Linked DNA regions of Macaca fascicularis. The protein of the gene in region 1 interacts with the protein of each later gene in a pairwise test. Links are inferred from orthologs where the notes say so. Each region holds a gene or a part of one and is shown in the gene's direction. Other genes may lie near its edges. The genes, in order: TRIP10, WAS, SH3BP1, ARHGAP12, ARHGAP17 and ABL2.

What was found.
Region 2: the proteins of TRIP10 (region 1) and WAS interact in a two-hybrid assay, tested with the Homo sapiens proteins (2 studies listed by BioGRID). The link is inferred for Macaca fascicularis from reciprocal best matches to the Homo sapiens genes TRIP10 and WAS.
Region 3: the proteins of TRIP10 (region 1) and SH3BP1 interact in binary tests that used the Homo sapiens proteins (3 or more experiments, as listed by UniProt). The two-hybrid records come from large-scale screens. The link is inferred for Macaca fascicularis from reciprocal best matches to the Homo sapiens genes TRIP10 and SH3BP1.
Region 4: the proteins of TRIP10 (region 1) and ARHGAP12 interact in binary tests that used the Homo sapiens proteins (3 or more experiments, as listed by UniProt). The two-hybrid records come from large-scale screens. The link is inferred for Macaca fascicularis from reciprocal best matches to the Homo sapiens genes TRIP10 and ARHGAP12.
Region 5: the proteins of TRIP10 (region 1) and ARHGAP17 interact in binary tests that used the Homo sapiens proteins (3 or more experiments, as listed by UniProt). The link is inferred for Macaca fascicularis from reciprocal best matches to the Homo sapiens genes TRIP10 and ARHGAP17.
Region 6: the proteins of TRIP10 (region 1) and ABL2 interact in binary tests that used the Homo sapiens proteins (3 or more experiments, as listed by UniProt). The link is inferred for Macaca fascicularis from reciprocal best matches to the Homo sapiens genes TRIP10 and ABL2.

What each region holds. Positions count from the first base shown.
Region 1 is NC_088393.1:7,506,727-7,510,226, forward strand, and holds part of TRIP10 (cdc42-interacting protein 4), read left to right. Parts: intron 1-543; coding exon 544-691; intron 692-773; coding exon 774-836; intron 837-1,080; coding exon 1,081-1,185; intron 1,186-1,281; coding exon 1,282-1,410; intron 1,411-2,129; coding exon 2,130-2,276; intron 2,277-2,375; coding exon 2,376-2,570; intron 2,571-3,500. UniProt on the Homo sapiens protein: Required for translocation of GLUT4 to the plasma membrane in response to insulin signaling. Required to coordinate membrane tubulation with reorganization of the actin cytoskeleton during endocytosis.
Region 2 is NC_088395.1:48,843,038-48,845,605, forward strand, and holds part of WAS (actin nucleation-promoting factor WAS), read left to right. Parts: coding exon 1-167; intron 168-1,260; coding exon 1,261-1,303; intron 1,304-1,506; coding exon 1,507-1,660; intron 1,661-1,866; coding exon 1,867-2,276; intron 2,277-2,528; coding exon 2,529-2,568. UniProt on the Homo sapiens protein: Effector protein for Rho-type GTPases that regulates actin filament reorganization via its interaction with the Arp2/3 complex. Important for efficient actin polymerization. Possible regulator of lymphocyte and platelet function.
Region 3 is NC_088384.1:14,000,342-14,004,544, reverse strand, and holds the start of SH3BP1 (SH3 domain-binding protein 1), read left to right. Parts: upstream 1-1,403; 5' UTR 1,404-1,522; coding exon 1,523-1,581; intron 1,582-2,837; coding exon 2,838-2,880; intron 2,881-3,083; coding exon 3,084-3,188; intron 3,189-4,203. UniProt on the Homo sapiens protein: GTPase activating protein (GAP) which specifically converts GTP-bound Rho-type GTPases including RAC1 and CDC42 in their inactive GDP-bound form.
Region 4 is NC_088383.1:32,630,191-32,633,690, reverse strand, and holds part of ARHGAP12 (rho GTPase-activating protein 12), read left to right. Parts: intron 1-510; 5' UTR 511-548; intron 549-2,099; 5' UTR 2,100-2,170; coding exon 2,171-2,854; intron 2,855-3,500. UniProt on the Homo sapiens protein: GTPase activator for the Rho-type GTPases by converting them to an inactive GDP-bound state.
Region 5 is NC_088394.1:24,023,613-24,027,112, reverse strand, and holds part of ARHGAP17 (rho GTPase-activating protein 17), read left to right. Parts: intron 1-1,453; coding exon 1,454-1,610; intron 1,611-3,500. UniProt on the Homo sapiens protein: Rho GTPase-activating protein involved in the maintenance of tight junction by regulating the activity of CDC42, thereby playing a central role in apical polarity of epithelial cells.
Region 6 is NC_088375.1:36,738,370-36,742,486, reverse strand, and holds the start of ABL2 (tyrosine-protein kinase ABL2), read left to right. Parts: upstream 1-1,317; 5' UTR 1,318-1,585; coding exon 1,586-1,742; intron 1,743-4,117. UniProt on the Homo sapiens protein: Non-receptor tyrosine-protein kinase that plays an ABL1-overlapping role in key processes linked to cell growth and survival such as cytoskeleton remodeling in response to extracellular stimuli, cell motility and adhesion and receptor endocytosis.

The sequences.
Region 1 (3,500 bases):
GGTTTCACCGTGTTAGCCAGGATGGTCTTGATCTCTTGACCTCAGTATACCATCTTTAAAAACTGGAAAATTCTGTGTTCCAAAATACATTCGAGGTCCAGTGCAGTGGCTCACACCTGTACTCCCAGCACTTTGGGAGGGTGAGGCGGGAACAGGCGGAGTTCGGGGGGATTGGAGTTTGAGACCTCATCTCAAAAAAAAAAAAAAAAAAATTAGTCAGGTATGGTGGCGTGTGGCTGTGGTCCCAGCTATTTGGGAGCCTGAGGTGGGAGGATCACTTGAGCCCAGGAGTTTGAGGCTGCAGTGAGACACGATTATGCCACTGCACTGCAGCCTGGGTGACAGCAAGACCCTGTCTCAAAAAAAAAAAAAAAAAAAAATTCTACTCAAAGGTTGGGGTTAAGGAATATGGACCACAACTTGTCATTGCTTCAAGGATTAAATTCTTGGGGCTTAACCCTTTTCCACCTGGAGGTGCGTCCTGGGGCATCAGCCTATTTGGGGGGCCTGACTCCCTGTTCCCCGATTCTCATCCTACCCCAGATTCAGCCAGCAACAGTCCTTCGTACAGATTCTCCAGGAGGTGAATGACTTTGCAGGCCAGCGGGAGTTGGTGGCCGAGAACCTCAGTGTCCGTGTCTGTCTTGAGCTGACCAAGTACTCACAAGAGATGAAACAGGAGAGGAAGATGGTGAGGAACTCCCCTCCGATTCAGGTTTTGGGAAGGGCTCCTGCTGGAACTCTGGCGAGCCTTATCGCTCTTCTTTCTGTAGCACTTCCAAGAAGGGCGGCGGGCCCAGCAGCAGCTGGAAAACGGCTTCAAACAGCTGGAGAATGTGAGTTTGCAGAGGTGGCAGTGACTGTGGCCCGGAGGCACGGGGGTCAGGGTTGCAGATCCTGGAGTCAGGGACCTGCCCTCTTTGTCAGACCTGGTCCTTCCCTGCCCCATAGGCTTCTAGTACGCCCTTGTCCCCTACTTACTGGTTGACATCCCAACAATCCCTGAAACCTTGGTTTCCCACCCTGCTGTCTTTGGGAGGGTGGCTCCCTCACTCTGGTTCTGTCCCCTACCCTACACAGAGTAAGCGTAAATTTGAGCGGGACTGCCGGGAGGCAGAGAAGGCAGCCCAGACTGCTGAACGGCTAGACCAGGATATCAACGCCACCAAGGCTGACGTGGAGAAGGTGTGTGAGGGGGTGGCGGGGTCTGGGACAAGCTTAGGGGGTCCGGGTGGGACGTGACCAGAACCTGGTAGTACCTTCCACCTCCTCATTCCTCAGGCCAAGCAGCAAGCCCACCTTCGGAGTCATATGGCCGAAGAAAGCAAAAACGAATATGCAGCTCAACTGCAGCGCTTCAACCGAGACCAAGCCCACTTCTATTTTTCACAGATGCCCCAGATATTTGATGTGAGTGCTCCCAGTTCTCAGACCTACCTTCCCAAAAGCCCCCAAATGTTAGCCAACTCCTGCACATTCGTCAAAACCCCAGCTGCAATGTCCCAGTCCCTAGATTGAAAGGGAATCAGAAACCTATCATAACAGCGAGCTGTGCTTTTAATCAGCTGTTCTTCCTGCTGGGCATGCCTTTTACTTGTTTGTTTATTTACTTCTATAGAGAGATGGGGCCTGGCTCTGTCACCCAGGCAGGAGTGCAGTGGCGCAATCACAGCTCACTGCAGCCTGGAACCCCTGGGCTCAAGCAAGGTTTCTTTCCTTTTGAAATTCCTACTTATTATTTTAAGCTCCACCTCTAACAACCTCTCTGAAAGGTCTCGAATTTCCCCTCTCCTGTTTCAATCTAGTGCTCCATTCTCTGTCCCATCCCAGGCCCTGGAAGTATCAGGGCTGGTTCTGCTTTTTCTTCAAATCCCTGCTCCTTTGTCTCCTCCTTTGAGAAGCCTTTGCTGACCCCCTAGGCAGGCGTCCCCCTCTGAGATCCCCCTGGCACTGTGTCGCTCCCCAACCACACTGGGCTGGAGTCTCTTCTCTTCCTGACTCTGTCTTCCCCTCCAGACTGGCTTGGGGTTGGGGCCAGCGTGGAGTGCGATCATATTTGCAGAGTGAATCACTGTGCTTCTAGTCCCTCTGTTAGCACCCCTGAGCCACCCTTGTCCCCGTCCCTACAGAAGCTCCAAGACATGGATGAACGCAGGGCCACCCGCCTGGGTGCCGGGTATGGGCTCCTGTCGGAGGCCGAGCTGGAGGTGGTGCCCATCATCGCCAAGTGCTTGGAGGGCATGAAGGTGGCTGCAAATGCTGTGGATCCCAAGAACGTGGGTGCCTGGTCTGGGTCCAGTGGGCCATGGGAAGGGCGGAGGGAAGTCCCCATACGCTGGTCACTTGACTACTCATCCACTGTCCCCCTCCCCCAGGACTCCCAAGTCCTTATAGAGCTGCACAAGTCAGGTTTTGCCCGCCCGGGCGACGTGGAATTCGAGGACTTCAGCCAGCCCATGAACCGTGCACCCTCGGACAGCAGTCTGGGCACCCCCTCGGAAGGACGACCGGAGCTCCGAGGCCCAGGCCGCATCCGCACCAAGCGCTGGCCCTTTGGCAAGAAGAACAAGGTGGGGGCCGGGACCCTTGGGATGGTGGGGGAGAAGGACAGTGAGGTGGGGACAGTGGGGCCCCTGTTGAGTCAGCCCCAGCCGCCTGAACGCCGAGTCCCGGGCAGGAATTTTCCTCTTGGCTGCCAGCCCGGGCTGGAGGGAAGGAAGGCGGGCGGGCCGCTTGGCCTGGGAGTCCCCCGAGGCGAAGGCGGGGGCAGGGTGGGGAGGTCTGTGGCGTTTGTCTGCTGCTTCTCGGGATGCTGGGAGAAAACCTGCTGGTGGAATTCAGAGCTGGCCTGAGGGCTGGTGACACCATCCCTGGGGACTCCCCGAGTTTCTCTCTCCATCCTGCTGATGGGACTCCGGGAGCTGCCCTGCACGTCCTGGTTTCTTGGGTTTTTGGATTTTAATATACCTTAGCACCCTTGGTTTATACCTTTGATTTATACTCTGGGTCCCTCTTGACTTACACTCTCATACCTCTCCTTGACTTCCACCTGCGATCCCCGAGCTTAAACCTCTGACGCCGCTAACCCCTCTCATTTTCCTGCCTTCCACTCCCTCTCAGCTTGTGGTTTTATTTTTGTTTATCTTTTGTGTCCTCCGTGGCCTCACACCTGTCTGAGACCTCGATTCCTGCATGCGTCTTCTAGACTGTCAGCCCAGAAAGCTAAGTGGACAGAGATACATGGGTCTGCCTGCCTCCTGGACCCATGCTTGCTCCCGGACATAACATTCCAGAGACCTAGGAGATACCGGGGGTGTGAGAGTTCTGGCTTTTGGGCTTACAGTTCAACGTCCTCCCCGCCACCTTCCAAATGTTTTTGTGTCGCTCCTGCATGCGTTTTCTCTGTGTGATTGTGTATCTTGAGTTGTGGTTTTCTTACCGTTTTTTTCTTTCTCCATTTTGTTTTTCCTTTTTTCTTTTCGCGTCCATCCGTCCATCCG
Region 2 (2,568 bases), on another chromosome or scaffold:
GTGGGTCCGCTCTCCCTGGGGCTGGCGACAGTGGACATCCAGAACCCTGACATCACGAGTTCACGATACCGTGGGCTCCCAGCACCTGGACCTAGCCCAGCTGATAAGAAACGCTCAGGGAAGAAGAAGATCAGCAAAGCTGATATTGGTGCACCCAGTGGATTCAAGTGAGAACCAGTCCCCAGTGGGCCCACAGATTCCTGGGGGCAGAGGGGCACATGAACAAGTGGACAGCTGAGACGATGGAAGGAAGGGCAGATGGCTGGGTGGCTGAGTGGGTAAATGAGTGGATGGATGGGTAGGTGCAGGGCTGGGTCTAGGGAGAGGTAAATAAGGCACCAAGGGTACAAAATTTAAGGAGGCACTCACTCTCAGAGGCATGCAACTGTAATTCCTGACTCTGAGAGTGAGTGACTCACTTAAATTTTGCACCCTAGGCACCTCACTTGCCTCAGCCTGGGCCCACTCTGGGTGGGCTGTTAGGGGAGCAGGTGGGTGGGCAGGTGAATGAATGGATAGATAGATGAGGCAGATGATGGATGAGGGGGGCTGGTGGGTAGGTGGGTGAGTGGATGGGTGGATGGATGGATAAATAAATGGATGAATGAATGGGTTGAAGAATGAATGGGTAAGTGGTTGGACGGACAGGTTGATGGGTGGATGGGTTGATGGGAGGTGCATGGTAGATGGATGGGTGAGTGGATGAGTGTGTGGACAGATTGATATGCAGGCTGATTGGCTCACAGACAAGGTGGATGGGGATGGCACAGGTGGACAGATATGTGAATGAATGGACAGTTCAATGGATAAGTGAACAGAAGTGTGTGGTTGCATGGGTAGAAAAATGTGTGAATGGATAGATGGAAAGGTGGGCACATGGGTAGGTGGATGGGCGGATGGACAAGTGTGTGTGAGGACAGATTGGTGGACAAATGGGTGAACAGACAAACGTGGGCAGATAGTTGCAGAGACAGATGTATGGACAGATCAGTAATCCAACAGATGAATGTGAATGAATAGGTGGACAAATGCGTGGGTGAATAGATGGGGAAAGAGGGATGGGTGAATGGATCAGCACCACAAACTATGAAGCCCTTCTAATTCCGTAACTGCTGCCCATACTCATTCATTCATTCAGTCTCATTCATTAATTCTGGCCCCTCAGAGTCTCTCTGAGCAGGAGAGGGCAAGAGGGCTTCACTACAAAAGGAGGGAAGGAAGGGCAGTGGGGATTCACTGGAGTCTCTTCACCTCTCCCAGGCATGTCACCCATGTGGGGTGGGACCCCCAGAATGGATTTGACGTGAGTAACTTCAGAGTCTCTCGGACTCCACTAAACTTCCACCCACCCTTCCAAAGACCACTGCTGAGACCCCACGCCCAGACCGTGCCCTTCCCACACCCTTCTCAGATCCCTTGCTGGGATGAACCCAACGACAATCCGTGTCGCTGCTCTCCTCACCTTATTCCTCTACTCCCGCCCCTGGCCTTTTTCCTCCTGGGCAGGTGAACAACCTCGACCCAGATCTACGGAGTCTGTTCTCCAGGGCAGGAATCAGCGAGGCCCAGCTCACCGATGCCGAGACCTCTAAACTTATCTACGACTTCATTGAGGACCAGGGTGGGCTGGAGGCTGTGCGGCAGGAGATGAGGCGCCAGGGTGAGCCCCTGCTTCCATACGTTCCCTTCTCCAGCCCTAGCAGCTCATAGCTAAGAGATTCACTAAGTCACTCAGTCCTTATGGGAGCACCTATACTGCTTCAGTCAGGAGTTGGTCAGTGGGGGTACCCATTTTACAAATGAGCAAAACTGAGGCTCAGAAGAAATCAATGAAAGTTACAGCTATGTGTTATACTCCCTCCACAGAGCCACTTCCGCCGCCCCCACCGCCATCTCGAGGAGGGAACCAGCCCCCTCGGCCCCCTATTGTGGGGGGTAACAAGGGTCGTTCTGGTCCACTGCCCCCTGTACCTTTGGGGGTTGCCCCACCCCCACCAACGCCCCGGGGACCCCCACCCCCAGGCCGAGGGGGCCCTCTACCACCACCCCCTCCAGCTACTGGACGTTCTGGACCACCACCCCCACCACCCCCTGGAGCTGGTGGGCCACCCATGCCACCACCACCACCACCACCACCGCCACCGCCACCCAGCTCCGGGAATGGACCAGCCCCTCCCCTACTCCCTCCTGCTCTGGTGCCTGCCGGGGGCCTGGCCCCTGGTGGGGGTCGGGGAGCGCTTTTGGATCAAATCCGGCAGGGAATTCAGCTGAACAAGGTGAGGACAAGTAGGATGGAAGATTGGGGGTCTGGAACTCTGGGGTACCCATGTAAGTCAGGATACTGGAGGGCTGAGGCCAGGACGGAGGAGAGTGCCAGGCCTTGGGGATTCAGTGATAGGGTGGAAAGGTTGGTGGGAAGCCTTGAAGGGTACTGGAATGTGTGGGAGGGAAAATATTGATGGAGGGGCGGGGAGAAATGCTCCTTTCCCAGGCCCTGAGCCCTCTGTGCTGACCCCTGCCTGCTGCAGACCCCTGGGGCCCCAGAGAGCTCAGCGCTGCAGCCCCCAC
Region 3 (4,203 bases), on another chromosome or scaffold:
TGGGAAAAGGGAGATGGGGGAAGGAACCTTGCCTGACATCTCATCCTGGCCTGAGCTTTGATCTTGGAGCCTCCCAACTTCCTACCAGGATTCCACACTCAGGTGGGCTCCCGTCTGGGAGGCTCTGGCCATAGCAGGCAGCTGTTGGGTTCCCTTCTCAGCTCCTCCCACCCCAATGAGGCCTGCCTCATTAGGGAAGAGAGAAGCAGCCAGTGAGTGTGCCAAGCCCAGTGCTGGGCACTAGGAGAATGGAGATGTGTGGGGCCAAGGTCCTGCCTCTGAGAGACGCCCAGTCTGCACCGGAACACAGTAGTGGCTCTAGTCTCAAACTAAACTGAAACTAACAAAGCAAAGTGCAGAGGGTGTGGCAGGACTCTGCGGCACACCCTCCCCTCCTCCCCACCCCTGCGGCTCCTGATGCCACAGCAGTGCAGGGTAAGGAGAGCCTACTGTCTCCCAAAGGCTCTCACATTTTGTATAACCAGCAGTTATGGAGCAACTACTGTATGCCTAACTCTGTGTTGAGGGGAGGGCCAAAGAGAACTACTGAGTTTGGGGGCCGTCAGAGCAGCACCCACATCATTGCCCTACAAGAAGGAAGAGGGACTGAGGCCATTTGCCAGGAGGAATGAGAGGAGATGAGCTTCACAGATGGAGCAAACTGCCGGGAGATGTGGAGAACAGGGTGTCGGGAACTGCTCTGGGAGGGTTCCTGGTGGCTGGGGGGATGGCACACACCTCCCTTAAAAGGAGCAGGCAGGGGTGTCTTGTCCACTCTGCGGGATGGGCAGGCCCAGGACAGCTGGCCCATTAGACCATTAGAGACAAGCGAGTCTGGAGTTCCAGGGACTTGTCCACGGCCACACAGCAGCCCTTGGCCCCAGGAAGCCAAAGCTTCCAGCCAGTCATCGAGTGGTGGGGGGTTTAGTTCCAGGGGGCCAGAGGTCCTCTGCGGGAGGGAGTGCAGGGCAGTATCCCTGCAAGTCCAGAGGGGCCAGGACAGGTCAGAAAGGCCCATCCCTCCTTCGCTTGGCACCCTCTTTCCCCTTTGCGAGGGATGCAAAGGTTATTTATACCCTGGGCCTGCCGGCTGCGGGTGGGGCAGGCACCCCATCTGGGGCGGGCTGCGGGCGCGGGGGCAGGAACGGGCTTACCTGCTTCCCGCCACCAGGGCTGGGCGGGGCGCTGCGGGGAGGAGGAGCGGGGCACAACCTGTGGACGGCCGCGGCCGGCGGACTCACAGCAGCGGGGGCCCGGCCGGGGGTCGCCGGGGGGCCCGGAAGCCGGGGGAGGGCGAGGAAACCAACTTGGAGAGAGGAGTGACCTGGGGGCCGGGGGCGGAGTCGTGAGCGGGGGAGGAGAGAGCCGGCCGCCAGCGAGAGCCGCGCGGCGGCCCAGGAAGCGAGAGCGCCGCCCACCCATCCGGGGCGAGAGCCGCGCCGCAGGAGAGGCAGGCTGGGCCGGGGGCTGCCCGGGCCCGCGACCCCCGCCGTGACCCCGCAGCCCCCAGCCCGCCCCCAAGATGATGAAGAGGCAGCTGCACCGCATGCGGCAGCTGGCCCAGACGGGCAGCTTGGGACGGTGAGTGTCACCCCCTTCCAGCCCCACTCTTACCCCGGCAGGACCTGAGGGGTCGTAAAAGGGTGGGGGGAGACGGGGATGGGGGAGACTGGGGACAGCTGAGCAGCCACTCTCTGAGCGGCCAGACCCTCTCTTCCTCCCTTCTGAACGCCGCCCCCGTCTCTCGGGCAGAGCTGGAGGAGCAGGGGTGGCCTTTGCGGGAAGGGATGCCCCCCCTTACTGGATTGGAGGGGGCTTCAGGCGGGAGAATGCTCTCTGCCCTAGGACACAGATTTCTCTGCCTCCACGAGTCTCTAAGTGGATGGTCCTCCTGACCTCACTTGTTCCCTCTGGACAATGGGGCAGTTCACCACCTCTGCTTGCTGGGCTGGGGAGGGAGGAGGGTCCATTTAGGGCCGCAGACCTGGGGCGAGGGGAGGAGACGGGTCCTGGCCTGGCGGGAGGAGGGGCCTGCCCCTGGCCTGCGGCGTCCGTTCCCTTACCCCTCCCCCCACCTCAGGGGCCTCCTGCTTCTCTGTCTTGTTTCTGCTTTTCCCAGACTCAGGTGGAAACATCCCCAGGTCTCCCAGCTCCCACCCCCAGCCTCTGAGCCGGTAGCACGGACGCCGGAAGTTTGGGGAGCCTCTGAGGGCCTGTCTTCTCTGCTCCTCTTCCCCTGCCTCAGGAGTTCCCCATTCTCTGGGTCCGGGGAGGGGACCGGGTGTCCAGAGACCTAGTTCTAGTCTCCCACTGGCACAGATGCCTACGTAGCCTGGGCAGTTAGGCCACCTTGCCATGGGCCTCGGCATCCCCCATGTGTCCCCAGGTGGGGTCCAGGGGCCTGTGCACCCCTGCCCACAGCTGTAGTCCAGAGTGCTGTGTGACTGAGCCTAGGACTCTGAGCTCCCGCACTTCCCGTTCTTGGAGCCAGCTAATACTCCTCATCCTGGGGTGGGCCGAGGATTTGGGAGTGGGCAGAAGAGAGGCTTCTGTGTCCCAAAGCTAGGCCCTGGGTGGGTCTCCCAGCCTCCCCTTCAGTTTCATCTGTCCGCCCTCTTTCAGGACACAGCCCTGGGTGGAGGAGGAAAAACCCATGTATCCTATTCCCACCCCCATGGAATGTGCTCTGACTGGGATGAGGCAACTGGGCCACCCAGGGCGGGCCGCACCTGGGAGGGACAGTGGAGGCACTGGGGTCCAGGTGCCCTGCTGCGGGGAGGGGGAGTAGGGGGCGTTCTAACCCAGGCAGGCTCAGCAGAAGCGCTCTCCCCCCGCAGCACCCCGGAGACCGCTGAGTTCCTGGGTGAGGACCTGCTGCAGGTACGTGCCTGGGCCGGGCGGGTGGGAAGGCAGGCCTGTGCAGGCTGTCGGAGCAGAGGGCCAGGGCGGGGATGCCAGCTAGGGGCCCGGGTTGAGTCATTCCTCAAGCTGTTGGCCATGGGGTCCCCAGGGGACAGGAGAAAGTTTCCTGCTCAGGGGGAGACAACTTTTCTTGATCCTTAACCTCCAAACCTCCTTGCCAGGTAGAACAGCGGCTGGAGCCGGCCAAGCGAGCAGCCCACAACGTCCACAAGCGGCTGCAGGCCTGTCTGCAGGGCCAGAGTGGGGCAGACATGGACAAGCGGGTGGTGAGTCGGGGGTCCTGGGAAGGAGGAGCCTGAGCAGGAGACTTCCGTCCAATGGGGAAGCAAAGTCGGGGCTGGGGTTTCCTTGCCAGTCTGAGTGGCACCAAGGGCATGGAGACTGCTCTGTTCCAAGGCCTCTCTGGCACTGCACTCAAAAGGCCCTGTACCTTCCCTGTCACCTTTACCCCACTTTCCTGTGCACCAATCCCCATAAGCCAAGGCCAGGCCTCTGCCAGCACCTGAACTTCTCTGTCCACTCAGCATGCAGAGCAGGCTCTCAATGGGGCAGCCTCAGAGGGCTTCCTGAAGGAGGTAGCAATTGAGCTGGCTTTTGAGGGATACTCATGTATTAATCAAGGGGCAGTGTTTATTGGCTGATAACTGCCAGCCTATTGCTAACATATTAGCGCATTGTCTCATGGAACACTGGCAACAACCCTAGGGAAAGGCACTGTTTTACAGATGAGGAATTGGAGGCTTAGAGGTAAAGTCACTTGCCCAAGGTCATATAGCCAGTAAGTGGCAGAACTGAGGTTTGAACCCTGGTCTCTGATCCCAAAGCAGGCATTCTCCGTAACTCCAGATGGGGTGGGAGTGTGGGGCCATGTTTTGGAATCAGTTGACAATTCAGTGTGGCCAAGACAAGGAAATTGGGAGTCATAGGGCGTTTGAGCTCAGCAGTGGCTAGGTCAGCCACATATACCCTGGCACAGGGGAAAGAGCCCCCATTCCCAGGCCAGCTCCCCCTCCCATTCTCCCTCCACCCGTGTGACCTGGGGCAAGCTCCCTGCCCTCCCTGCATCTTAGTTTCCCAGTCTGCAGTAGGACTTGGTCATCCCTTCCTGCCCAGTCAAGTGGCTTCTGGGAAGAGGAAAAGGGCACTCCAGATGGGGAGGGGCTCCATCCATGGTCTCAGGGAAATGTCACCCACACCATGCCTTGTCATCTTGTTTCCACTCTCATCTGGGACTGTGGCATTCCTGGGTTCCCTCCTCACCTGCCCCCAAGGGGCTGGCCT
Region 4 (3,500 bases), on another chromosome or scaffold:
CAGAGACTCTTGTCTCAAAAAATAAATTAATTAAGATAAAAAAATAAAATAATTAGAAAGTAATCAGGGGACAAATGTGTTAGGACACCTAATAACTTTTACCATATGTTTTTATTCTCTTTACCCATTCAATACATACACTTGAAAAACAGTTCTTTCATCTTAACAGTTTTATAGTAGAAGAGTTGTTTCTTATATGATCAGAAGTTTAGAAAGATGCTTGTCAGAATGAAAAATAAGGGAAAAAATGAAATTGAGACAGTATGGAAGTACAGTGGGAGAGGGCAGTGGTAAAGCCAACCTCAGTGGCTGTTGGTGGTTGTGTTTGCATGTGTTTGGAGGGTGGTGCTGACCACAATCTTGATGTATAAAACTTTCCTGGTTCCTTATGGCTGTTATAAAAAAAGTTTTGCTTTTAAAAATGTAAGCAGCATTATATTCTTAGTCTTACTTCAGCGATCTTGGTTTGAGTTAATGAACTTTTTTTTTTTTTTTTTTTTTTTTTTACAGATTTAAATTGATACTGGTGTACATCTCCTTGTTCTAAGGTAATTTTTTAGTTTTTAAAACTGTATTGTATTAAATTTATTAGTCAAGTAGTTTGTCTAGAAAGTAAATTTCAGTTACTACAATTGTATCAGTGACTGACTGACCACCTGGCCTTATAGGCTTTTCGTCATAGAGAAGATTGTTATCCTCAGGAGAATGATGGTTACTACACCTGTAGTGTACAATAATATGCTCAGTACTTGTTCGCTATAGAAAATTAGTAGATTGTTATGGAACCTTGGGTTTACACATTTTTGGTAAATCTCAGTTTGCCTTAGGATCCTTGAGCATTGGGTTGAATGTATTAGTTTCCTAGGGCTGCTGTAACAAATACTACAAACTGGGGTGCTTAAACAGCAGACATGTATTTTTATTCTCTCACTGGTCTAGAGGCTAGAAGTCCAAAATCAGTTTTGGCAGGGCCATGCTCCCTCGGAAGGCTCGGGGGGAGAATCCTGCTTTCCTCACCCCTGCCTGGCTGCTGCTGGTTGCCAGCAGTCCTTGGTGTTCCTTGGCTTTTAGCTGCTTCACTCCACTCCAGTTTCTGCCTTTCTCTTCAGATGGTCTTCTCCCTCTGTAGCTTTTCTCTCTGTAAATCTCCTTCTCCTTTTTTTCTTTTTTATTTTGAGACAAAGTCTCACTCTGTCACCCAGGTTGGAGTGCAGTGGCGGGATCTTGGCCCACCACAACCTCAAACTCCTGGGCCCAGGAGATCCTTCCACCTCGGCTTCCCAAGTAGCTGGGACTATAGGTGCATGACATCACACCCAGCTAATTTTTGTAATTCATGTAGAGGCAGGGTTTCGCCATGTTGGCCAGGCTGGTCTCAAACTCCTGGGCTCAAGCCGTCCACCTGCCTCAGCCTCCCAAAGTGTTGGGATTACAGGTGTAAACCACTGTGCCCTTAATCTCCCTCTCCTTATAAAGGCACCAGTCATTGGATTTTGGGGCCCACCCTAATCAAGTATGACCTTGTCTTGGTTACATCTGCAAAGACCCTCTTTACAAATAAAGTCACAGATCCTGGGGTTAGAACTTGAACTATCTTTTGGGGGAACACAATTCATCCCCAACAGGTGGGAACTGGCTCATGCTGTAGTGATATGAGGATGCAGTGATCATTTAAACCCATAATGCTGTGTTCTAGGAGGTACTAAAATATTTTGGAATTGGTATAGAAATGAAAGTAAATGCATATTAGTTGTTATTAGTGAACTTTTCTAAGAAGGTGAAGGAGGTTTGAGGGAGTCATGAAAGGAAGGAAAGTTTTTCTCAACTCTTGTGTCTGCCTAATTAGTGTATATTTACTGTTCCAGTTATTGGCTTTTGTTTTGGTCATAAGTGACTGAAAAATGTAGATTACAGTTAGAATGAAAGTGTTTTTAATGTGGCAGTGCATATGATATTAGTCACATGTTTGCTTTTTGGGGTTTGAGATTTGAAGTAATGTTCTTTAAATGGCCTATACTGTATGATGCTTGTGAGTAAGTACCAAATCCAGATTGCATTAACTTTTTTCTTCATTCTCTTCCTCCATTTAAATAAAACAGCTATATTCATCCAACAAGTCATAAAGCCATAATGTGGTATAACATCCTTTTTGAGAGGTGAATATTATTGAATGAAAATGGCTGACAGAAGTGGGAAGATTATTCCAGGACAAGTGTATATTGAGGTGGAATATGATTATGAATATGAAGCAAAGGATAGAAAGATTGTGATAAAACAAGGGGAGCGGTACATCTTGGTGAAAAAGACCAATGATGACTGGTGGCAAGTCAAGCCGGATGAAAACTCCAAAGCGTTTTATGTGCCAGCCCAGTATGTGAAAGAGGTCACGCGCAAAGCTCTAATGCCACCTGTTAAGCAGGTAGCTGGTCTACCAAATAACTCCACGAAAATAATGCAGAGTTTGCATCTTCAGAGATCAACAGAAAATGTGAACAAATTGCCTGAGCTTTCAAGTTTCGGAAAGCCGTCGTCGTCTGTTCAAGGAACAGGTCTTACTCGTGATGCCAATCAGAATTTTGGACCCAGTTATAATCCAGGTCATACTGTCAACCTAAGCCTGGACCTGACCCATAATAACGGAAAGTTTAACAATGACTCACATTCTCCTAAAGTTTCCAGCCAGAATAGGACACGCTTATTTGGTCATTTTCCCGGTCCAGAGTTCTTGGATGTAGAGAAAACTAGCTTCTCCCAGGAACAATCTTGTGATTCCGCAGGAGAAGGCTCTGAAAGAATACATCAGGATTCTGAATCTGGTGATGAACTTAGCAGCAGCTCCACTGAACAGATAAGGGTAAGATTAAAAATAGAATGAGGAAACACTTGTACCACCCTAGTGAAAATATTATAGTTTTTCTTTTAATTGAAATATTTATAAGAGTTAAGACTTGTTTTGCTTTGTATTTTCAGAGTACATGGGTTCTATCCTGATTTAAAGATCTAGAAAATATGTGAAATAACTTGTGGAGTTCATAAAGGGTCACTTTTTGGTTTTCATAATTATTCTTATACCATAACAGGACTAGATCTACTTTAAGTGTGGAAACTTCTTTTTCCCTTTTCTCTATTGATTATGTATAAGGCAGAGGGAATTTACTTAATTTACTCAGTGATGATATTTCTTCTAATAGAAAAAATTTTTACTGTTTTCTACCTGTACCCATTTTGACTTGTTTCCAAGAAGTCTTCAGGTAATAATTGGTTATCTGAGGAAAGATGTCATTGGAATATTAACTGCTCACTTTTGTCTTAAGTGTCTAAGTATCCACAGTTGATTTCACTGAATATTAGCCTGGAAAAATTTTTCTGTGTTCCTGGTTCGTTTTTTTTTTTTTTTTTTTTCTTAAAGACAAGGTCTTGCTCTGTCGCCCAGGCTGTAATGCAGTGGAACAGTCATGGGTCACTGCAGCCTCGACCTCCTGGGCTCAAGCGATCTTCTC
Region 5 (3,500 bases), on another chromosome or scaffold:
CAGAGGTTCCCATGGCCCCCTTTGGGGATGCTGGCCAGGCAAGTGTTAGAACTCTGGATCCCCCACACCTACTTCCCCCAGAGCAGCCCTGCTGCCATGTCCCGTGGGGTGCAAGCCCCACGATACCCGTCTTTTCTTCACCACTGTTTTGTCACCATCAAGAGTCACGCCTCATTCTTGTATGTTGCCCCTGGAAGATGGGATGGATGAATGAAGGCTAGCATTCTGCTCAAGATTTCCTTTGAGGAAATGAGTCTTGCAAAAACTGCTAGAGGCAGTATAAACTTGATGTTGCCTTTTTTTTTTTTTCCCAAGATTTAATAGAGTGAAAACAGAGCTCCCATACAAAGGGAGGAGACCCAAAGAGGATAGCCGTTGCTGGCTCGAATGCCAGTAATGTTCATATCCTCATCATTGTCCCTCCCACTGTGCTCTCAGGCAATAGATGATTGGCTATTTCTTTACCTCCTGTTTTTGCTTAATTAGCAAATTTTAGTGAGCTCTCTTTACTACCTGATTGGTCGGGTGTGAGCTAAGTTACAAGCCCCATGTTTAAAGGTAGATGCGGTCACCTTCCCAGCTAGGCTTAGGGATTCTTAGTCGGCCTAGGAAATCCAGCTAGTCCTCTCTCAGTCCCCCCTCTCAACAGGAAAACCCAAGTGCTGTTGGGGAGGTTGGCTGACGACCGCTCTAACTGCTTTCTGCTGCATTGGGGCATAGTAGGAGGTTGTGCAGTTGAGATTTCCTCGGGAGGGGTGCCTTCAATGTCATTAACTTTATGTTGCCTTATATTTCTATTTTATATCAAAGTATAAATTTTTTTTTTTTTTTTTTTTTTGAGACGGAGTCTCACTCTGTCACCCAGGCTGGGGTGCAGTGGCAAGATCTCGGCCCACTGCAACCTCTGCCTCCCAAGTTCAAGCAGTTCTTCTGCCTCAGCCTCCTGAATAGCTGGGTTTACAGGCATACATCACCACACCCAGCTAATTTTTTGTATTTTTAGTAGAGATGGGGTTTCACTTTCTTGGCCAGGCTGGTCTTGAACTCCTGACCTCAAGTGATCCGCCTGCCTCAGCCTCCCAAAGTGCTGGGATTGCAGTCATGAGCCGCCATGCCCAGCTAAATATCTCTTTGAATGATTTAAATAAGTGATCTGTGTTCATCATCCTCTTCTGCATTCTAGATTTGTATTTTTTTTTCCACAAAGGAGAAAGCACAAAAGTTGTGTAACTTATATTCTGACCCATACTTCTTCCCCTGTCTTGTCCTCTTTTGTTACTTCCCACTGGTTTGATGGACCATTCTTGCCACATGAGTGCCTGGAGCTTCCATTTTGAAATAGTGGGGACTGTGGACTGAAGAATGAGGTCCCCGTTCCAATGAGGGGTGTCCTAGAGCTCCCTCGCCTGCTGTGCTCCGTGTCTCATACACTTGTTTATTTTTCCTCTTGCAGAGGTGGAATTTAATGTATCGGAAGCATTTGTACCTCTCACCACCCCGAATTCTAATCACTCTTCCCACACTGGAAACGACTCTGACTCGGGGACCCTGGAGAGGAAGCGGCCTGCTAGCATGGCGGTGATGGAAGGAGACCTGATGAAGAAGGAAAGGTATGATTCGACCATTCACTTCCAAACCAGCAGTAAATATATTGTTAGACCCATGGTATCTGGTATCGCTCAATGGACTTGGGATTTGAGAGTGGTCCCCATCCACCTGTGGCTGATGGCATCCAGATAGTTTCTGTAATTCTGCTGTAGGTCATTCCAAGCACTGATCTCCCCATAAAGTCAGTGTGTAAAGCTTGTCAGTTAACCTTTCTTCCACGTGTATTCCAGCTTAACTTGGTGGTGTACTTGGTAAACCCTGCAGTGGGACAGCATCATACACATGTTAAAATTGACCTAAATGTCCTTGAGTGGGGGGAAAGAGAAAGGAAAGTCAGTTTGATAGTGTGGACTTTTGTCCAGAATTGAGTGTGAGAACACCCACCTGGCACAGTGAGTTGAGTGATTTGGTATTTAAGGAGACATATTTCTGGTGTAATAATGGCCCCACAATGGAAGCCAACCACTGAATTTGATGTTCAGTGGGGAAAACCTCAGTATTTGCCACTTCTAGAAGAAAAAAAAATGGCAGTATTGAACTTAGTGAGAAGCAGTGTGTCTCTATATACTCTTTTCTATGGGCAATTCATGGGATTTTCAAGGGTAATTAAAACTATTTGTGATTTGTACCTTTAGATGCCAACCTGTCCCATGTGTGTGATGAAATGCCACTGTACTCACTAGGAATGCTAACAGTTAAGAGGCCTGTTGGAAGTAATATGTTTGTCTTGGTATATGAAACAATATTACTAGAAATAGTTTTACATTAAAACAAAGTAACAAACTCTTATTTTAATTGCTCAATCTTATAGTGAGGTGTGCTGTTTATTTGTTTCTTGTTCTTGGTTTTGCGCTTTTTACCCCTAGCAAAGGAGAATGCATTATTCTGTCCGTATTCTGTCCGTCCAAAATCCACATTTATTCTGTGTGACATATTACCTCTCTGAACCCTCGTTCATACATTCAGTAGTATTTCCTGATGACAAACTCTACCCGTAACAAAATTAGCTTTCATATATTTTAAGTTACAGAAAACAGTGCATGAGTCTAGTTAGCACATGGCAGACAATTCTCAGTTACCTGCCTTGTGTATTCTCCCTGCCAGCTGAGCCAGTAAGCACAAGCTCAGGAAGCCAGGTATCTTTTTACTTTCTGAACTGAAAGAAAAAGTTGCTAAGTTCATAGATCAGTGGGCTTAAGTGAAAAGTCAGCCTTCCTTCCACCCTATCCTCCAGCCGCATCCAGCCACCATTCCCTTCCTCAAAGCAACAGTTTTTTCCAGTCTTTTTGTTTTTTGTTTTTTTGAGACAGGGTTATGTGCCCAGGCTGGAGTGCAGTGGTATGAACATGGCTCACAGCAGCCTTGACCTCCTGGGCTTAAGCAGCTCTCCCACCTCAGCCACTTAACAGGCACACACCACCTCACCTAGCTGATTTTCTAAAAAAAGTTTTTTGTAGAGACAGGGCCTCACAATGTTTCCCAGGCTGGTCTTGAATTTCCAAGCTAAAGCGATCCTCCCGCCTTGTCCTCCCAAAGTGCTAGGATTACAGATGTGAGCCCCCGCGCCCAGCTTTTCCAGCCTTCTGTGTCTTTCAGATGTAGGGTTTGCATATGCACATAGGGTTGTTTCTACATCTCATCTCAGTTAAGAGGCAGTGTGGTGTGATAACCTTATACTACCATTGGTAGGCCTTCTGGACTTGACTTCTGTTTCATTCCCCAAAAACAGATTTGAGATGGGAACTAGGAAGTATGGAAATGGGCCAGACGTGGTGACTTATGCCTGTAATCTCAGCACTTTGAGAGACCAAGGCAGGAGGATTACTTGAGGCCAGGAGTTTGAGAGCCTGGGCAATGTAGTGAGACCCCGTCTCTAAAAAAAAATTTTTTTT
Region 6 (4,117 bases), on another chromosome or scaffold:
TGGCCACACCCTGGATGGCAATGGAATAATTTCATAGTGCTTTTATAACAGGCAATATCTACGTCAGTGGATGGTTCATCTAAGTTCAACCTGGTTCAGGAAAGATATGCAAAGGAGAGCTCCATCCACCTCCTCTCCCAACCCTACCTTTCCAGTGGTTGTTTTGTTCCTTCTTTGCAGTGGCTCCCGTCCTGTCTAATTTAAGCAAAATTTCAGTGTTTTTTTTTTTTTTTTTTTACCTCCATTAACTTATACTTTTCATAAAGCAAATTGGGAAGCCAAAAGAATAACAGGAGAATGATCGAGCTTTTTGAGAATTAAAAAATTTGAATTAACATTAAGATGCAAGTAAGCACCGTGGGAGAGGGGCATGGCGAGTCAATTGTATATAGTATACGTGTGTGTATAAAACACTTCTTTCCTGCCTCATTCACCCTCTTTAGACCGCATAAGCTAACATGAGTAAGTTCTGACTCAGAAACAGGGTCAAAGATGTATATTTTTTCTCCTTTGTCATCAAAAGAAGACCTGACCACGTGCACAGTGTATAAAGGATGCCAGTGGGAAGATTAACTTTACTGTCAGGCATTGTAAGGGAAACAGAAACTCACATGTGGTGAGATAGGAGTTCAAGAGGAATTCATGGTAATATAATATGAGGAATGGGGCTACAATTGCGTCCCCAATGAGACTATAGAAGGCACACAATCCAGGCGAGTGCGATTTAACATCATGAAATAATCTCCAAAAATTAAAATCAAATAAGGTAGCATTTTACTCTCTTCTTGTAAATTTTATACCATTTTAATTTTTACTGGAGGCCTGCTGCTGACAAGGGTATTTAAAGGGATCCCCCTGGGCATTTCAGAGATCCTCAACTGGATGGCAAGGACCAAATAAATGCCTTGTGCTTTTCTGCCCCACCTGTGCCTGCACCTGAGGGGCGCACGCGGGGGCACTCAGCCCTCGACTCACTGATTTGACAGGTGGAAGTGGGATGGGGAAGGCCGGAGACCGACCAACCCCAAAGGCAGTAGCGTGTGGAGCCGAACGTGGGAGGGGGTCGGCTGAGGCGGATTGAGGGGTGGGATGCCGAGGTGCGGCGACAGGACTCGGAGGACGAAAGACTGCAGCAGCGGTGGTCGCCAACTGAGGTGGGCACTGGGGGACCCACCCTGCGAAGAGGCGGGGGCGGGGGCGCGGCGCGGCAAGGCGGGGCGGCAGCCGGGAAGCCCTCCTTCCCAGCGGCGGAGGTGACTGGCGGGCGGGGGGCGGGGGGCGGGAGACGCTCTGTCCCACGCTTTCCCAGCGCTCGGTGGTTTAAAGATGGCGGCGGCGGCAGCGGCGGCGTTTGGGGCGCGGAGCCGCGGGAGGAGGAGGGAAAAGCAGAATCTGTGAGTCGCCTGGAGGCAGTGCGGCGGCTGCCGTGAGGAGTCCGGGTGCGGAGCCGCCGGCGCCCCAGCCTCTCAGGGCCAGGGTCTGGGCTGGGAGGGAGAGGCCGGAGCAGCGCCAGGAGCCCGAGGCCGGAGTCGAGGAGGAATGTGACCAGGGGTCGGCGGGGGCGCGGGAGTACGCGAGAGCAGGGATGGGGCAGCAGGTGGGCCGCGTCGGGGAGGCTCCGGGGCTCCAGCAGCCTCAGCCCCGCGGGATCCGGGGCAGCAGTGCAGCCAGGCCCTCCGGCCGCAGGCGGGACCCGGCGGGGCGCACCACAGAGACCGGCTTCAATATCTTCACCCAGCATGGTGAGTGTGTCCGGGAGCCGGCGTGAGGGCGTGCGGGAGGCCGGGGGTGGGGTCGGGGCGGGGTGGGTGACGGACGGGCTGCCCGGGGGGTCGGGGGTGGAGGGTGCCTGAGAGTGGGGGCGGAATCTGCTGCCATCTGGTTCAGTCCTGGGAGGCGAGTCACACCCCTCCCCCCTCGCGTCTCCAGCTTGGCTGGCAGATCCCGGGGGCGGAGAAGGAAAGAGAAGTGGGCTTGGGGACCCTGGATGGTCTGTCCTCTACTCTGGGACGGGACTATGCGGCTGGAGAAAGAGAGTGAATGGCAGCTTCAGGAGAGGGAAGGATGAAGGGCAGTATGAGCTCAGTCCCAGAGGTGGGAGCATAAACCCGTCGTTAGTGAAGGGGAAATGGGTTGTGTCCTAAGGGACTGGGAAATAGGAACCGAATTTCAGGAGATTGTGGCGTAGAAGGTAATGTGTTTACGTCAGGTGATGAGCAGTGTCACGATAGTGAACTGTGGAGTGCCCAGAAATGCCTTTCTGTAGGAAAGATGAAGGTAGCATCTCATCACTTTTGACATGCTTTTGTGGTTTGTTTTGTTTTGTATTTCGTTTTTACTAGAAGTGAAAGGCTTTGCCAAAGCCTCTGTACTATGCTTCAGAGTAGGACACACAATTCTGAGATTGCTGGCAAGGGTTAGAGGTTGGTGGGCATGGTTAGGACTTCAGTCAGTATTTTTCCCCTTCGTAGTGTGTGTGTGTTCGCGTGCCCATATACATACTTACATGTATGTGTGCTCCCTGTAGTCTGAAACCTATTATTTTGATCTCATTGTCAATGTATTTTTAGAATAGTTGTCTCCAAACTGTTGTTGTTTTTTTTTTTTTTTTGAGACAGAGTCTCGCTTTAGTGCGCATTATGGAGTGCAATGGCGGGACCTCGGCTCACTGCAGTCTCCGCCTCCCGGATTCAAGTGATTCTCCTGCCTCCCGAGTAGCTGGGACTGCAGGTGCGCACCACCACGCCTGGCTAATTTTTGTATTTTTGGTAGAGACGGGGTTTTGTCATGTTGGCCAGGCTGGTCTCGAACTCCTGACCTCAGGTGATCCGCCTGCCTTGGCCTCCCAAAGTGCTGGGATTACGGGTGTGGGCCACCTTTCCTTGCCGCAACTCTTTTTTTTTTTTTTTTGAGACAGAGTCTCATTCTGTCACCCAGGCTGGAGTGCAGTGGCACGATCTTGGCCCACTGCAACCTCCGCCTCCCAGGTTCAAGTGATTCTCCTGCCTCAGCCTCCTGAGTAGCTGGGATTACAGGCGCCCGCCACCATGCCTGGCTAATGTTTTGTATTTTTAGTAGAGATGGGGTTTCACTATGTTGGCTAGGCTGGTGTGGAACGCCTGACTCATGATCCACCCGCCTCAGTCTCCCAAAGTGCTGGGATTACAGGCATGAGCCACTGCGCCTGGCCACATGTCTCCTATTAAAGATGTGCTTGAGTGTCTCTTTCAGGTATATGAACACTTTGTGAAGGTGATATATGAGCTAATCTTTATTAAAATGACTTCCTAAAACATAGGATGGAAGAATGGATTAGTAGTTTACAGGGAAGAAATCATCCAAGTAAGCTTCACTTTGTGGGAAGTGTTACTATGCATTAAACTTGGCCTAGTAGGCAGTGATGATCCTCCTCCTCTACTATCTTATTCGGTATATAAGATTTTCCAAGAAAGAGGAAGTAGTGAAGAATGGAATAGGAAGACATTTTGAGGATTTGGATCCATGGAGAGGGAGAACAGGTTGGGCAGAAGAAACAACTTGAGCAAGAACATGGGAATAGATATAATTTGATGATAGGATAGTGAGGAGACATCTGTCAGGAATGAAGCATCATTATGAGTTGGAAGAAAAAGATCATAGAGCAAAAATTGGAAGAGTCGAGTTCTGGTTCTGGCTCCACCTGGCTGGGTGATTTTAGTCACCATCTTTGGGTTTCTTTATCTGTAAAGTGAGGAGGTTGGACTGGATGATCTCTAAGATACTTTCTGATTTTAAGATTTTATGATTCTAATTAAGAAGCAGTAGAAAGAAAATTTTGATAGGCTGGATGGGACTGGGTTATGGAAAATCTGGCAGAGAAGTTTATATTCGTTTACCTGCTTGGCTAGTCTTCACCTGAAAGACTGGCCTTGAGTGGTGGCAGTGGAAATAGGAGGAGTAATTTCAAGGGGCCTTTCATTCATTCAACAAACAAGGGGTTTTTTTGAGCACCTATTACATACTAGGTTGTGGGAATGTTGCTGTGAACATAACAGAGTCCCTGCCCTTTGGAACTTAAAGGACTTTATGATTTGATAGAGGATGAAAGAAGAGAGATCACTTTGGAGTATTTGTTAAG